Linked DNA regions of Drosophila melanogaster. The protein of the gene in region 2 purifies or fractionates together with the protein of the main gene of each other region. This does not show direct contact. Each region holds a gene or a part of one and is shown on either strand. Other genes may lie near its edges.

What was found. Proteins that work in one complex are often made in the same cells at the same time.
Region 1: the proteins of lva (region 2) and alpha-Spec purify together in Drosophila melanogaster (affinity purification with western blotting; 2 studies listed by BioGRID, with this or other methods). This does not show direct contact.
Region 3: the proteins of lva (region 2) and beta-Spec purify together in Drosophila melanogaster (affinity purification with western blotting, with the first as the bait; one study listed by BioGRID). This does not show direct contact.

What each region holds. Positions count from the first base shown.
Region 1 is NT_037436.4:1,792,206-1,797,042, forward strand, and holds the start of alpha-Spec (alpha spectrin), read right to left. Parts: upstream 3,124-4,837; 5' UTR 2,994-3,123; intron 1,296-2,993; exon of another isoform or gene 1,211-1,295; coding exon of another isoform or gene 1-1,210. Other genes in the region: dlt (discs lost), read right to left, coding at 1-1,210; Cdc37 (cell division cycle 37), read left to right, coding at 3,495-3,527, 3,588-3,791, 3,973-4,632, 4,697-4,837. UniProt on the Drosophila melanogaster protein: Spectrin is the major constituent of the cytoskeletal network underlying the erythrocyte plasma membrane. It associates with band 4.1 and actin to form the cytoskeletal superstructure of the erythrocyte plasma membrane.
Region 2 is NC_004354.4:3,962,123-3,967,158, forward strand, and holds the start of lva (lava lamp), read right to left. Parts: upstream 3,206-5,036; 5' UTR 2,633-3,205; coding exon 2,579-2,632; intron 2,517-2,578; coding exon 2,445-2,516; intron 2,376-2,444; coding exon 2,295-2,375; intron 2,231-2,294; coding exon 1-2,230. Other genes in the region: CG6428 (uncharacterized protein), read right to left, coding at 3,698-4,399, 4,466-5,036. UniProt on the Drosophila melanogaster protein: Lva and spectrin may form a Golgi-based scaffold that mediates interaction of Golgi bodies with microtubules and facilitates Golgi-derived membrane secretion required for the formation of furrows during cellularization.
Region 3 is NC_004354.4:17,655,653-17,660,494, reverse strand, and holds the start of beta-Spec (beta spectrin), read right to left. Parts: upstream 3,124-4,842; 5' UTR 2,962-3,123; exon of another isoform or gene 2,958-2,961; intron 1-2,957. Other genes in the region: IntS2 (integrator 2), read left to right, coding at 3,897-4,712. UniProt on the Drosophila melanogaster protein: Spectrin is the major constituent of the cytoskeletal network underlying the erythrocyte plasma membrane. It associates with band 4.1 and actin to form the cytoskeletal superstructure of the erythrocyte plasma membrane.

The DNA of each region.
Region 1 (4,837 bases), on a different chromosome or scaffold from region 2:
ATCTCTCGTTTTGTAGCAAGACACTCAAAGTCCGTTTGTCAAGCTGCAGAAGTAACTTTTTCTGATTCTCCAGCAGTTTTGCGGCAAAGTATACACAACTTTTGTGCTGGGTGAGTCCCTCCAAAGCACTGGGTACATACGATTTGACGGGTGATTGGCCAAAATCTCGCACATTTAGCAGATGGACCACAAAACTAAGTTCACGTAGTACGTTGGGCACCAAATTGAGGTCCATTAACAGGCTGTAAATGGTTGATAGGAGCTGCAAGTGATTGGCATTAGCCACACCCTCCAAGCTAATGGCTTCCTCAGGGAAAACCTCATCTTCGGGTGTCCTCTCCTGTTGACTAACATTCACAGGCGCTTCGCTTTTGATTTCCTGCTTTTTGAGCAACAGGAACTTGCGGGCCTCCATTTCCAGGGCTGCTTCTTGGCTTCTATCGAAGATTTCGCTGCTCTGCGAGATTCGCCAAAAGTTATTTTCATTGCTAAAGGAACTGGTGTCTCCGAAAGAGGAGCTGGCCGAAACATTCTTGCTAATGGTCATGGGTAAGACACGTCGCCGCGGCTTGGATTGTGGCGTGGCTCCAGCTCCAGTTCCTGAACCCAATGATGCATGTTGATTTTGCTGCTGTTTTTGGGGCGTGATCTTCTTCTTAGATCGCTGATGGCTCTGGATAGGTGTATTGACCAGAAAGTTGCCCAAGCAGATGCTGTGCCCTCCTCCTGCTCCCCCACCGCCGCTTCTGTTAGGCGTGCTGCAAAACTGGGCGCCACTTCCTGGCGTTGATCTTCTGCCCTGCGGCTGCTGGGGAGCCGGAGTAGTATTCGAAGTGGAGGACATACTGCAGCTGCTCCGGCTAAGGATCGAGGACTCATTGAGCTGCTGCTGTTCCTCCTCCTTGACCACATCGGCGACCGGCGGCTTGAGCTGATGGATGGGGGTCAAGGGAAACACGGGTGTCTCCGAGTTTTGCGAATAGTAGTACCTCTTTGTGCTTTGACGCAGTGCACCTAAAAAGTAGGTGGCGAAGTCCTCTAGTGTGCAGTTACTCTGGTTATCACCCTTGCCAACCTTTTTAAAATAGGCGACGAACTTTTGCTCCAGCTGGTGGTGCGGCACCTTCTCCAGTTGCGCAAGCAGCTGCAGCAGATGCCTCTCTTCCGGCTTCGTCATTTCTGTATCTGACGCTTTGAGCTCTGCAGTCATGTTCCGGTGATCTATTTTCTGTGCCTTAGCTCGAGCTATTTTCAACCTTTGGCCCTCCTCCAATCCCTCTCTCCCTTTTGTTTCCCTGCAACGGAAGAGGAGAGAAGGGAAATGTTGGCTCGGCTTTTGTGGGTTTCGTTTTCTAAGTTATTTTTAGAGTTGTTTGGATGGGTTGAAGTTGCAGGATTTTCTTTTTTTTCTGTATAAACAATATGTTTTCACACAATAAACTAAATCAACGTAAACGACACGTAAAATGCTACGAGTTGTGATGACTTCATCACCTGTACTAAAAGTTGTAATAAGGTTATAGTTAGGCGGGAAATTATGAGGAATATATTTGTAGGTCAGGTTTGGAAAAACGCACATGTATGCTAAACAAATTTGTAAAGGTATTAACCTTAACAATAAAAGAATAGTAGGTTTCTAAAAGTATCTAAATATTGCATCAACAATTTTTTGTTGTTAAAGTATAAATATTTTCTATGAATTCTTATAAGATATCATTTATTTTAATTTCCAAACTTAGTTGATAGCCCATAAAATCACATTTCTAATAGTTTCCAATTTTTAGTGCTAAAAAAAAAAAAAAAACAACTCAGATAAGAAAAGCAGAGAAATATCTGAAATTCTCAGCTACACTACACAGAAGGTAAAATAGTTAAGATTGGCCAAGAATGATTAATAGAGAAAAGCCAAGGAGTGAATTTTTGTCAATAGAGTAACATGAAATACAATTAGCACTAACGATAAGGAAATCCGTGGAATGTCCGGATTTTAATACTTAATACTTCAAAATCGCCCCTTTAGAAGGGGTCAGCAGAGCAAGCAATGACATCATTTAGGGGAGAGGGTGGGTCAGCATGCAGAGAAACAAACAAACAACACTCTTTGCCACAGGAAATTGAAATAAATCAGAGGGAGATGGCAACAGCCCAGGGCTTGGCAGCCATACAATGTTGGAGCTCACATACAAACACACAGGCAGGCCAATTTAACTGTTTATCGCGGTGGCAAACAAAAACAACATCAGAAACGGCAATTGCGAGAGATCGCACCTCAAAAAGAGAGCGAATAGAAAGAGACGGAGAGAGCGAAACATTAATTGAAGTGTCTATCAGAAAATAGCAGAGGATGACGTAATGCGTACGCTTTGGAATTATGAGCAATCAATGAAGAGGCACAAAAAATCAACTGGTACGCAAGACTACTACGAACACGGAATCGCCTGGCAAGCAAACAAAAATATCCTATGCAAACACAGGCCTTCAAGAAAGTCAAGGACACTTGCCCACCCAAAACTTTGGCATATGTAAGGCAAGCACTTTGCTTTTTTTTTATTCGTACTTAAATATCTTGGAAACACAAACAAGCAAAGAGAGGGAGAGTGTGCTCTCCCGCTTTCTCTCATCTGAAGTTGCCGCACCACCACCACCACCCGATGACGTACACACACACAGCGTTCTCTACTCCTGCGTAACCGCACACACACATGCACAACAGGAGCACCAGATACTTTTTCTTAAGTTGCAATTGGAGTCAAGAATTTTGAAAGAAATTCAAAATTTCTATTACTAATCAAGCAGTGACATTGCACAGCATAGCTTTTCAGTTATGGCCAAGACTTTTCTCTCACTTTAGCCCCGTTAATTGGATTTTTGTGTTGCCTTCGAGGGTGTGGCGTTGACCCGAAAAATTTTCACTTTGCACGCACACCGAATTTCAATTGCATTTTGAACCCAACTAACAGTGAGCTACGGACGAAAACTATGTAGAAACTTACACTTTGATGGCAATCTATTTGTTCACAGTTACTTTGTTAATTTAACTATTGATTTGCAGTAGTTATTCGTAATTTTCACGGAGCGCCTCTATTTCACGGGACCGCAGTTTTTTTCAATATGTCGGCCGATTGGCGCAGAACATTGACATCAATATCGCGATTTCTATCGATGTCAATCGATTATAAACATAGTTCTCTTTCTGGTCGCTTTGGCGCCTTAGTCATCTCATTATTTTTCTAGTAGATGTAGATGAGTAGTAGTAGATGATGTAAATAAATTAAAAACGACAGGGTATTTCAATTCAATCTGGTGCACTCATGCATGACTACTATTTCCTAGCGCGGCCCCAGAGTAAGCGGGGCTTATTATGGTATTATTCCGCAATAGCCCTGCGGTCACACTAATTTCCAGAGCAATCCAAAAAAAGGAAGCAGCCGAAAAAGAACAAAAACCTGCAGCATTTACATTCAAATATAAATCCGAAGCAAAGAAACAGCAAAATGGTGGACTACAGCAAGTGGAAGAACATCGAGGTGAGCCCACTGCTGGGTGCCAACCCAAAAAGTCCTCCTAATCGGCACACTACCTTTTAGATTTCGGATGATGAGGACGACACTCACCCAAACATAGACACGCCTTCTCTGTTCCGCTGGCGGCACCAGGCGCGCGTGGAGCGCATGGCGGAGATGGACCACGAGAAGGACGAGCTTAAGAAAAAGCGCCAGAGCTACCAGGCGCGCCTCATGGACGTCAAGGAGCGGATCTCAAAGAAGGATGGCGACGAGGAGGCCCTGAAGGTGGGTCATTGCACCGAATGCACTGCGCACTTGTTGCTTAGGCTAATGCCTGGTCTGGGAGTTCCCTATGTTCTCAATCCATCTAATTTATTCTTATTGTCAAGCTTATGATTGACTATCATCCTAAGTGGCCATCCATCTTTCATCGCAATGCTTAATCCCTAATTTGTATCGCCTACAGAAAGAGCTCGAAAAGATCGAGGCCGAGGGCAAAGAGCTGGACCGCATCGAGAGCGAGATGATTAAGAAGGAAAAGAAAACACCCTGGAACGTGGACACCATCAGCAAGCCCGGCTTTGAGAAGACCGTAATCAACAAGAAGGCCGGCCGCAAGCCGGATGAGAATCTGTCCGAGGAAGAGCGAGAGCAGCGCATGAAGCAATTCGTCAAGGAGAACGAGAAGCTCTGCCAGCAGTATGGCATGCTGCGCAAGTACGACGATTCGAAGCGGTTTCTGCAGGAGCATCTTCACTTGGTGGGCGAGGAGACGGCCAACTACCTAGTCATTTGGTCCATCAACCTGGAAATGGAGGAGAAGCACGAGCTGATGGCCCACGTGGCGCATCAGTGCATTTGCATGCAGTACATTCTAGAGTTGGCCAAACAGCTGGACGTGGATCCTCGCGCCTGTGTCAGCTCCTTCTTCTCAAAGATCCAGCACTGTCATCCCGAGTACCGCGCGCAGTTCGACAGCGAGATCGAAGGTTTCAAAGGACGTATCCAGAAGCGTGCGCAGGAGAAGATCCAGGAGGCGATAGCCCAGGCCGAAGAGGAGGAGCGCAAGGAGCGCCTCGGACCTGGTGGTCTGGACCCAGCCGATGTCTTTGAATCCCTGCCCGATGTACGTTCTAGTGATTCACTGTATGGGAATTACTTGACTAACTTTTCATGTATTTGCTCCGCAGGAACTAAAGGCCTGTTTCGAGTCCCGCGACGTAGAGCTGCTGCAGAAGACCATTGCGGCCATGCCCGTGGACGTCGCCAAGCTGCACATGAAGCGTTGTGTGGACTCTGGTCTCTGGGTGCCCAATGCCGCTGACTTGGAG
Region 2 (5,036 bases):
CAGTTTCTACCGCCGTGCTCGCTTCCTTAACCTTGTGGAGAAGCTCACTCAATTGGGTGTGACAGTTCTTGGCCTCCTTGGCCAGTTTCTTGGACACATTGAACTTGGCCTGCCTATCGTTGGCCTTGCGATAGGCCTCCAATTCAGAGTTGAGTTTGCTCAGGGATTTCTCGCATTTCTCAAAGAGCACGGGGCCTCCTTCGCCGGCGTCCAGTGTTGCGACAACTTCGGAGGAGCGTTGCATTGAACTGAGTTCCTGCGAGAGATTGGATGAAGTGGACGTGGAGGAGATCAGATCCTTCTCACGTTCACGCTGCAACAGCTGAAGAGAACTTGAACTTTCCTCCAATCTTGCCTGGAGTTGCAAATTCTCGGCCGACAGTTGCTCCAGCTTGTCCAATACCTCTCCGCGCTCCTGGGTGAAAAGTTCGAGACGTTCTCTAAGCTGGGAAAGAGTTTCGCCAGAGGAATCCTCCTCCTCAGTTTGCTCCGTCTGAGTGAGCTCGCTGACGTGACTTGGCCCTGGTGGATGCACTTGCTTCTGCTCCTGGGCGTCGCCCTCGCTGGCCGGACGTCGTTGGCCTAGGCACTCTAAGTGATGACGCTCCACTATTTCAATGGATTCCGCAGAACTGGATGAACTGAGTAAGGCCTCTAGGGCCTGTTGCAATTCCAATTTCTGCTCTTCCAGCAAACGAATTGTTTCCAGCTGCAGTGGATTATTGGACTCCGTCGATTGCTCTGGCTGGCGGTCGTCCTCTTGCATGTTGGCCAACTGCCATTGACCCTTCTCGTCCTCGAGGACGGCGATCCTTTGCTGCAGTTCCTCGTTATCAGCCAACAGTGAAGCCAACTGCTGTTGGCCATCTTGGGATTGGAATTTCTGCAGCTTCTTTTCCGCCTGCTTGCATTTCAGCTTTAGCTTTATGTTGGCCTTGTTAGTTTCGTCCAGCTTTAGCTTCAGCTGCTGCAGATCCTCCTGCATCTGCTTGCTGGCGGCACTGTCCTCCGAATGGTCCTCCAGAAATAGGGGCTTACTGCGACTGCTTTGCGCGAGTTTCTCCTCAAGGAGACGCAGATTCACATTGAGCACATTGAGTTCCGTTGTCTTTTCTGCGAGTTCTTCGTTTTGGGCAGCCATTGCCGACTTCTGTTCCTGCAGCTCTAGAAGCTGCGCCGCTATGGTGGCTTCCAGTTCCTCAAGGCGCTGGGAAACAATCTCATCGGTCACCTGGAGCTTCGCCTGGGCAGCAACTTGCTGACGCAACTCCTCATTAGTTGCCTGTAGATCAGCCAGCTGGTTGGTAAGCTCCTGGAGCTGTTTGGCTAGCTCCGCGCTCACCTGTGCATCGGTATGCGCTGCTTCCGATTGCGGACTGCGGGAAGCCTTTTCCTGCTCTTGTTCCAACTCCAGATTACGCTGTCTTTCGCGCGCCGTGGTCAGCTCTTCCTGAAGTTCACAGCGCGTCGTTTCTAACAGGTCGTTGACGTTTTCCAGCTCTGCTAGTCGTTCTCTTAAGACTAAAACTTCGCCCTGGAGGCGAGAGTTTTCCTGCACCTTCAGGCTATCCTCTTCTGCCTGGACCACACGCAATTGCTCTAACTCCTCGTTTCGCTGGGTGAGCGTGCGCTGTAATTCCGCACCGGATAGTTCCAATCGCTCGATGAGTTTAGCGCGCTTGGCCAGTTCTGTACGCAATTCATTTAGCTCCTGTTCCTGCCGGCCCTGCTTGAGTTCCGTCAACTTCATACGACTCCTGAGCAACTTCACCCGGCTTTCGTCCACCGCCTCCTGACCCTGGGCCTCCAAGTCCAAGGCAGAACGATGGCGGGATACGGGTGGATTGGAGACAGACGCCGCGTGTCGTAGGTCCGTCATGGAAGAGCCCAGCTCGGCGGTCGTTTGGTGGCCAATATTCGACTTTACAGAAAGAAGAGACTTGGCCAGATCCCTCTTGCGCTGCTCCAACAAAGCACGATTTTGTTCCGTGCGCTGTGTGAGCATCAGAAGCTTCTCGCTGCCACTGGTTTGGAGTAAAGAGACATCACCGGGGTCGCTGTCCTTTGTGGGTGAGACCAGTGGAGTGGAGGAGTCGCCGGAGCGCGTCTTCAACACGGTGAGCTTCTGACCCAGTGTCTTAAGCGACTCCATGGAGTCACTCATGCTGGACTTGTGTCGCTCATCCTGGGATTTCCTTAAGGCGCGTTCTTTTAAGGCAGTGAGGCGCTCCTGAAAGCAATCATTTCGAGTCATTTAATGATATGAACCACTTGATTCACAGCGCCTAACTCACCTGCTGCTTGTACAGATTCTCTTTAAGGCTATCCAAACGGCCCTTGCCTTTGGTGCCTCTCGTTGTGCTGGCGGATACATTCTGTAGGGTAGATTCAACAGATAATATTGAATCCTGCTTCACTTGGGGGATTTGTTCAGATTTACCCACCTGTAACGAGGACAGATCGTTGGAGCTGCCCGCTAAGCGTATATCCGCCTCGCCATATTCGTGATCGTCGGGCTGCAAGTGGTCATGATCAGTATGGACGCATGTACGTACAGGGAACACCAAGTGAAACCCACCTGAACGATGGAGAAGTCGTAGGAGCTCTCCAAAGCACCCGAATCTTCCGCCATTGTCGTTTCAATTACAAAATATTACTAACTATCCTAGCGTACCGGACCAAATGCAGCAGCAATAACAAAAAAAAAAAAAAAACCAAAAACAAACAAAAACACAAATCGGGGGAATCGGGAATATATATGCGGACTGGCTATCTGAAGGACCGATTATATATCCACGGTGGCTGCGCAGCGCTAGCTATCGACATTGACTGCAACGAGAGAGGGTTTACCATATAGCTAACATATATCATCCGCTTCCGATCGGCTAGAATTGTCTTTAGCTTTGAATTTGCGTTTCTTGTTGTTCTTTTTATTTTATGGAATTCGTGGCACTGACGTGTGCACCTCTCTATAGATGTGTGCGTGTGTGTGCGGCTGTGTGTGTGCGAGTGGGGCTGTGTGTGTGTTTTGTTTGCTGTTTTTCCAGCGCTTGTGTCGATTTTCGCCTGGTTTCTGAGTTACAAGCCACTAAGCACTAGATTGCAACGTAAGAGCTTTCTTATGTGCACGCTGACAGATGTATATTTACCAATTCTAATTAATGCCAGCGTAAAAACAATTCGATACCAGGGCTGCGCAACAACTGAATAGGGTCACAAAGCCCTGGTAAGTTATCGAATGACAGATGGCTCGATAGCACTTGCGCTCGTAATCAATCAATCGATTACAAACTAATTCAAAAATTTTGCATTAATTTCAAATTGATTTTATTTATTTTCATACAACAAATTATACTAGTTTGTGTATATAACTTGTTATACAACCGTTTAATATGTCTGATGCTTAATTTTAGACATGATTGGTTAATTTTTGGTTTTGGCTAATAATATTATTGCATACAATGGATACATTAGTAAATAAGGACTACTTAAAAACAGGTCAGGGATTCGACACTTAATAATAAAAACTACCACGACAACATCGTTAATATGCGAGTTATGCAAAACTGATAATAAGGAACCATTAGACTAGATGCAACACTTAAGTACAAAAGAAATAACCCTAGCCTCCAGTGTTTGTTTTTTTCTTCATGCTGCAGGAACAAGGAACGAGGTATGTATGGTTCGGAAGAGATTTCTATGATTTTAGGACCTCCATAACCGCTGCGTGTCCGCCGCGCTCCGCATAATCCATGGCGGTCAGGCCGAGCATGTCCTTCTCGTTCGGATTCTCGAAATAGGGCAGGACGTATTGCACCACCTCCGGAAATCCGTGCAGTGCTGCCACGTGCAAGGCCGTCCTGCCCGAAGGATCCGACTGGGCAAGATCGGCACCGGCGTATTGATAGGACTTCAATCTGATCATCGATCCCCTAGCAGCGGCCGCGCACAATTGCTCGCCCACCGCTCGCGAAGAGCCCGTCAAATGAGCACCACAGTTGATGAGCAACTGGATGATCTCGTGGCTATCGGTGGCGACAGCCTCCAGAAGTGGAGTGCGGTCATACCGATCACGCACGTGCACGGACACCCCGTTCTGCAGTAGGTACTTAACGATCTCCACGTTTCCCAGCTGACAAGCCAAGTGTAGGGCCGTTCGCTGGTCATGATTTGTGCCCGACAAGTCGGCGCCATAGGCTTTCAAGTTGTTGATCTTCTTGGGATCACCTTCGGCCACAGCGGCGTTGATCATGGCCGGAAAGAGCGTTTCGCCCAGCTGATCCAGTTCTTGGGGCGAGGACAAGTGCAGAGACCGTGCCACTGCGTCCACCAAGTCGTAGTCCTCCATTTTGGGAGCCTTTAAGGAGGTCAGTTCGCCCCTCAGGCTTGACTGCATCATCTATGAAATGCACACATTGTGGATTATCCATATTTATGTATGTATTGAATTATAGTCGAAACTTACCTGCTTCTTCATATCGAGTGACCACTCCTCCTTGCCGATGACATAGGCCAGCTTGGCCAGCGCCGCCTCGGGCGTCATATCGAAACCGGGAATTACACCGACATCGCAGAGCACCTTGCCCGTATCGTAGATCTCCGCCACTGTGCCATTGGGACACTGTGTACAATTGATGATGATAACGCCTCGTTCACCAGCCGCACGCAGTTCATCGATGAGATCTTTTCGGTTCGATGGTATGTTTCCAGATCCGAAGGATTGCAGGACAACGCCGCGAATCGGTGGCGCCAGGAAAGCCCGGAATGTGGAGTGCGAAATGCTCGGAAAGATTCGCAGCAAGCCGACGTTCTCGTCGAGATTCAAGTGTACGCAAAACCTTTCAATAGTGCATGGCCGGAATATCAGGCGGTAGTCGACGTTCACATCAATGCCGATCCTGGCCAGTGGTGGAACATTCGGTGAGTCGAACGCGTCTAAGGCATTCGAACTGACCTTCACCGTCCGATTGCCGCGCATCAACTTATGGCCAAAGAAGATGCAAACCTCCGGAATGATGTAGTTACCGGCTATGATC
Region 3 (4,842 bases), about 14 Mb from region 2:
ATTGTATTTAATTGTTATTTAATGGCTCATTCATTGACAAATAGTTTACTGTTGGCCCTCAAAGAGGTGCATTAAACAAATTCTTGTTATTGATTTTATAACTATAAATACTTGCTCTTTTTTTTATAATTAGACTAACAATAAAAAGGCACAAAAAGTATATAACGTCGTAGCTAATAAGTTTTAGCTTGAATGCTAAAGTTCGCTGCTATCTTTATGACCTCAACTGTGAACACACATCGCACATTTCACATTTTCATAAATCATATTCATGCTGGGCCCATTCAGTTTCCATTTTTCCATCGGCGAGCTTTTTGTTTTACGGGACACACGTATGTCTATCACTCATTTACATGGGCTTGTATACTAGTATTTCACTGGTTTTTTATCGACGTAGCCGACGATTTGAAATTACGACCTATTCACACGGCAGTTGGCCCTCGAAAATTCATTCGGTTTCACACATCGCAGCGTTTTTCACACTTTTGCAAGCTTTTAGGTTGCAATGAAAATGGGCGAAGTACTTGGGCTGTACTTTTTCCACTTGACATATTTTTTTGTTTTTTTATTGCCGCACTTTCTCCGCGGCTTTCACATTACAAATTAGGAGAACACAGTACTTAATTCAGAACTCAAAATTTCCCCAAATAAAATACTGCCTCTACAAAATTTTAGTAAATTATTAGAAATATTATGTCAGTTCATGTTTTCAACTTTTATTCATTCACAATATTTTATTTACAGTAAATGCAATTCAGTATGATATTTTTGAAAATTATTTGTAAGATGAATAATGAATTCTTTAATGAATGACCGCAACTCGATTAGAATAACAATTTAATTGCTTGATTAATGGAATTAAGTAATATAAGCTTGCCGACCTAGGACAAAAATAGAATCACTGATTGAATCAGGCCCCTTTTGCTGTGTATAACAGTGGGTTTTTGTGCTAATGTCCTTTGACCTTTATATACATTCGCGTTTGCACAGGTGCCGGGGTCATTCCCTTCTACGCACACAACAACAACAAAAGCAGCAAACATAACTTTTTCCCATCGCTTCGTTATCGCCCTCCTCTACTCTTCGTTCTTCGCTCTTCCTCTTCTCGCTTACACAATTAACTAAGCTGCTGATTTCATTTGTACTAAGTTTTATGAGAGCACCGCGACAACAACACCCAAAATGAAGAACATCAAGAACCATAGTGCGAGCGAGAATTGTTAAAACAAACAAAAGCAAAATCAGCACACACGCACACGCACGCAGCAGCTTCTATCTTAGTATTACGTAATATTTTTATTAAAACGAAGCTTAAAACTTTGAGAGAGCGAGAGCGAGCAACAACAAAACTGGAGCGCAGAGCGATAGATAGAGATGGAGAGAGGAGAAAGAGAAAGAGGGAGAGTACTATTGTATCTATATATCTGTATCTGGAAGGTGGTGCAGTTAGAGTAGGAGTGCTGGAAGTGGAAGTGAGCAAGGGATAGAGGGGTGGAAACTGCACAAGACGCTCTCACGGGCTAGCTCTCTTCCCCTTACACACCCCAACCACCCACCCCACCTTACCACCTTCAATTGTTGGTGCTTTCTAGACTTAATTATGATGGCCGATCCGATCCTCTTGTTTCCAGTGTGAGTTCATCACAGAGAGCGATGAAGAGAGACACAGTGTGAGCGGAAGAGAGAGAGCGGGGCGTGTGTGCAACTGCGAGTTCAATTAAACAGGCCAAGAGTTCAACTTTGGAAACTTGGAAATGAAACCACCACCAAAGCTGAGGCTTTGCTAAGGAAAAACCAGTTTTCCCTGCCATTTATGAGCAAGTTAATGAGTTTTCGGCGATCAATTGATTGAATGCCTGTATGTTTGTAGGTTTGTGTGCGGGTGTGTGTGTTGTGTTTACAACTGTACGTGTGTGATTTGTCATAAACAACAACAATGCAACAACATCAGCGACAAGGTGAAGCACAAACAAACACATAAGCAAACAAACATTGGGCAAGTGCAGCTCAGTATATTTATATCTTTTAACTCGTAACTTCGAAATGAAACTTCAACTCGTGACCTCAGAGGGCCGGGTGGGTGAGAAGAGCGGGGTGCAAGGGAAATGGGAAATGGGGAGTGTGTGTTATTTTTAGCCGATGTGTTGGTGAGCACGTAACTGTATTTCAGCCAAGTGCATAGGCGTATGCGTATCTACGGGGAAGAAAAAAGAGCGCACCGCTTGTATTTCATAAAACTCACAAGCACACGGAACCTCAACGTATGATACACATGTATATATATATATATATCTCCGATTAGGCGATAGCCGTGTTCTTCGCTTTTTATCACCAACGGAACGAACAACTGACGCAAACGTTACTTAAGGCTTGCGCTTCTTCTTCTTGCACAGCAACATGTCATTCATGCGTTTAATTCACAGCTCTAGAGTTTCGGTCCTGCCATTCAGGCACATTTACACCAAGTAATTTAAAAAATAAAAAAAAAAATGCGAACTACACTCGTCCAATTCGATTACTCGAACAAACATACACACACACTCACGCACGCTACGCGCTCTCAACGAAAACCGAATGATGTCATCATCGGTGGCAGAGACAGCGACGCCGGCAGCGACGGCGACAGCGTCGAAATATATGAGTTAGCAGGCAATTTTAATCGATGATGTTTTTATTATGTACGTAGAAATGTATGCGAGAAATCACTTGCTTTTCATATTTTAGCACACTTCTAATTCTCAAACCAAAAACACACACACAGGCACACCAAGAGTAAGAGTCGCTCACACATTCGTTAGATACTTTTTGCTCTCTTTTGCCACTTCTGCCTTTTATTGGTGGCTCCTTTTTCGTGGCCTATTCACTTGGGCGTTGGTCTATTTCACATTTTCCCCGTTCGACCGCTTGCGTTTCGAATTTCGCGCCGTTTTTACTGCACTGCGGCGACTTTCACTTACCTACTCGATAATTTTGCAGCTCCGCTCGCCCTAATTGATTCATAAAACACAGTTAATTTCATAGATTTAGCACGTTCAACTAAAAATCTTCGGTCTGGCGGATGAACTTCACTTGGCGAGAATGGAAAAAATGTATGTATTCAAAACATCGCGTTGCGAACGAGTGAACGAAGTGAACCAGCGCGAGAAGGCGCTAAAAAACGCCTACTGCGCAGTGTGGCCGTGCCACATGATCTGGCTATAAATTAGCCAAAACGGTGGAACTTAAGATTTTTATATATTATTTAACTTAAATATTCCTTCATATTTGTATAACCTAATATTACATAAACAATTGTTTACGCCACATGTACTCTATTACTTCGAGCTATTTAAATAATATTAATTAAATTTTTATCAGAACCAAAATGTTCTTATTTTCCTAAGATTTTCGTTACAGAAATGCTTATATACAAACATAACTTATTTATATTTAACTTTTTTTAATATGTTGGCTTTTTGGGAGAATATAAGCCTTATTGCTAATAATAACAGTAAAGATTTTACTAACTTAATAGTACTAATAGTTGTTAGCCTCTTGCAATAATTGTTAATATTTTTCTTTAGCTGCGCATCTCTTTGTTAACCTTCACCTATGAGAGCAGTATAGTATTTTTATAATAATAAAATAATAAAATGTAGTAATTGCTGGTATATTTGCAGCCTCTCCAACTGGCCACACTGACGTGTGTTGATTTTTTGGATGCGGATCGCAGTGGATTCTCGGATTCTCCGGCATTCCCTGCCCCAACTACAGATCGCCGAGATTAAAGCAGACCCGCGCCGGCATCTCCAGCACGGACACCCCGCCGGCCAGGCCAATAGAGCGGGACAACCGAGCACACGAGCATTGCCGGGTGCAACAAGTTGGAACGCAACGACAACGACGACGAGGACAAAATGCCGGTGAGGATGTACGATGTATCGCCGCGCGTTTTCTGCGCCATGCAGAATCTGGACATCACCCTGCTGGCCAGCTATCCGGAGGCGGAGATTCGGCCCGTGCTGCCCTCGCTGGTGCGGATGAGCCTGCTATCGCCACTGGACAACACCGAATCGTCGATGGAGTCGCGCAAAGAGATCCTGGCCGTGCTCATCGGCATCGAGGTGGTGAACAGCATCGTCTCCTACCTGCAAGTCAACTACCATGAGCTGGAGAATGAGCTGAAGAAGGAGCTGCAGGCCCGCCAGAAGTCGGCCTTCTTCGAGGGACAGCAACACGAGTACGGCCTCCAGTCGGGCATCGCACTGGGCTTTGAGCGGGCGGATGTGGCGCGCAAGGTGCGCGTGGTGCTCTCCGAGATCTTCAATCTGCAGCAGCAGGTCTCCGAGCAGAAACCGGCCGCCCATTCGGAGATGCTGGACGACGGCATCTATCTGGAGGAGGTGGTCGACATTCTGTGCATTGCTCTCGCCGAGCTGCCCTCCCTGCTGAACATACTGGAGCTAACGGACGCCCTTGTCCATGTGCCCAACGGACATCGCATCATCTGCGCACTGGTCGCCAACTTTCCGGATTGCTATCGCGACGTTGTGTCCCATGTGATCGCCAATTGCGACGAGGATGGCAGCGATGGCAAGCACCGGTTAATGCTGCTCATGGGGCTCAGCGAGATGAATCCCTCCCAGGCGCTGGCCAACAGGTCCATGTGCGTGGATATGCTGAAGGTGCCGTCGTTTATGCTTAAGCTCACGCTCAAGCATCCCGAGGATCTGGTGAGTAGGGTAATATTGACCAGTAAGGTGCAGATTTACCACAACACTATAATCGTTAGGAAATTCTTTGCATTTCATTTAAATTTAACGTACATAAGAAATGTTTTTTGATCATATTTTGTTGATTGAT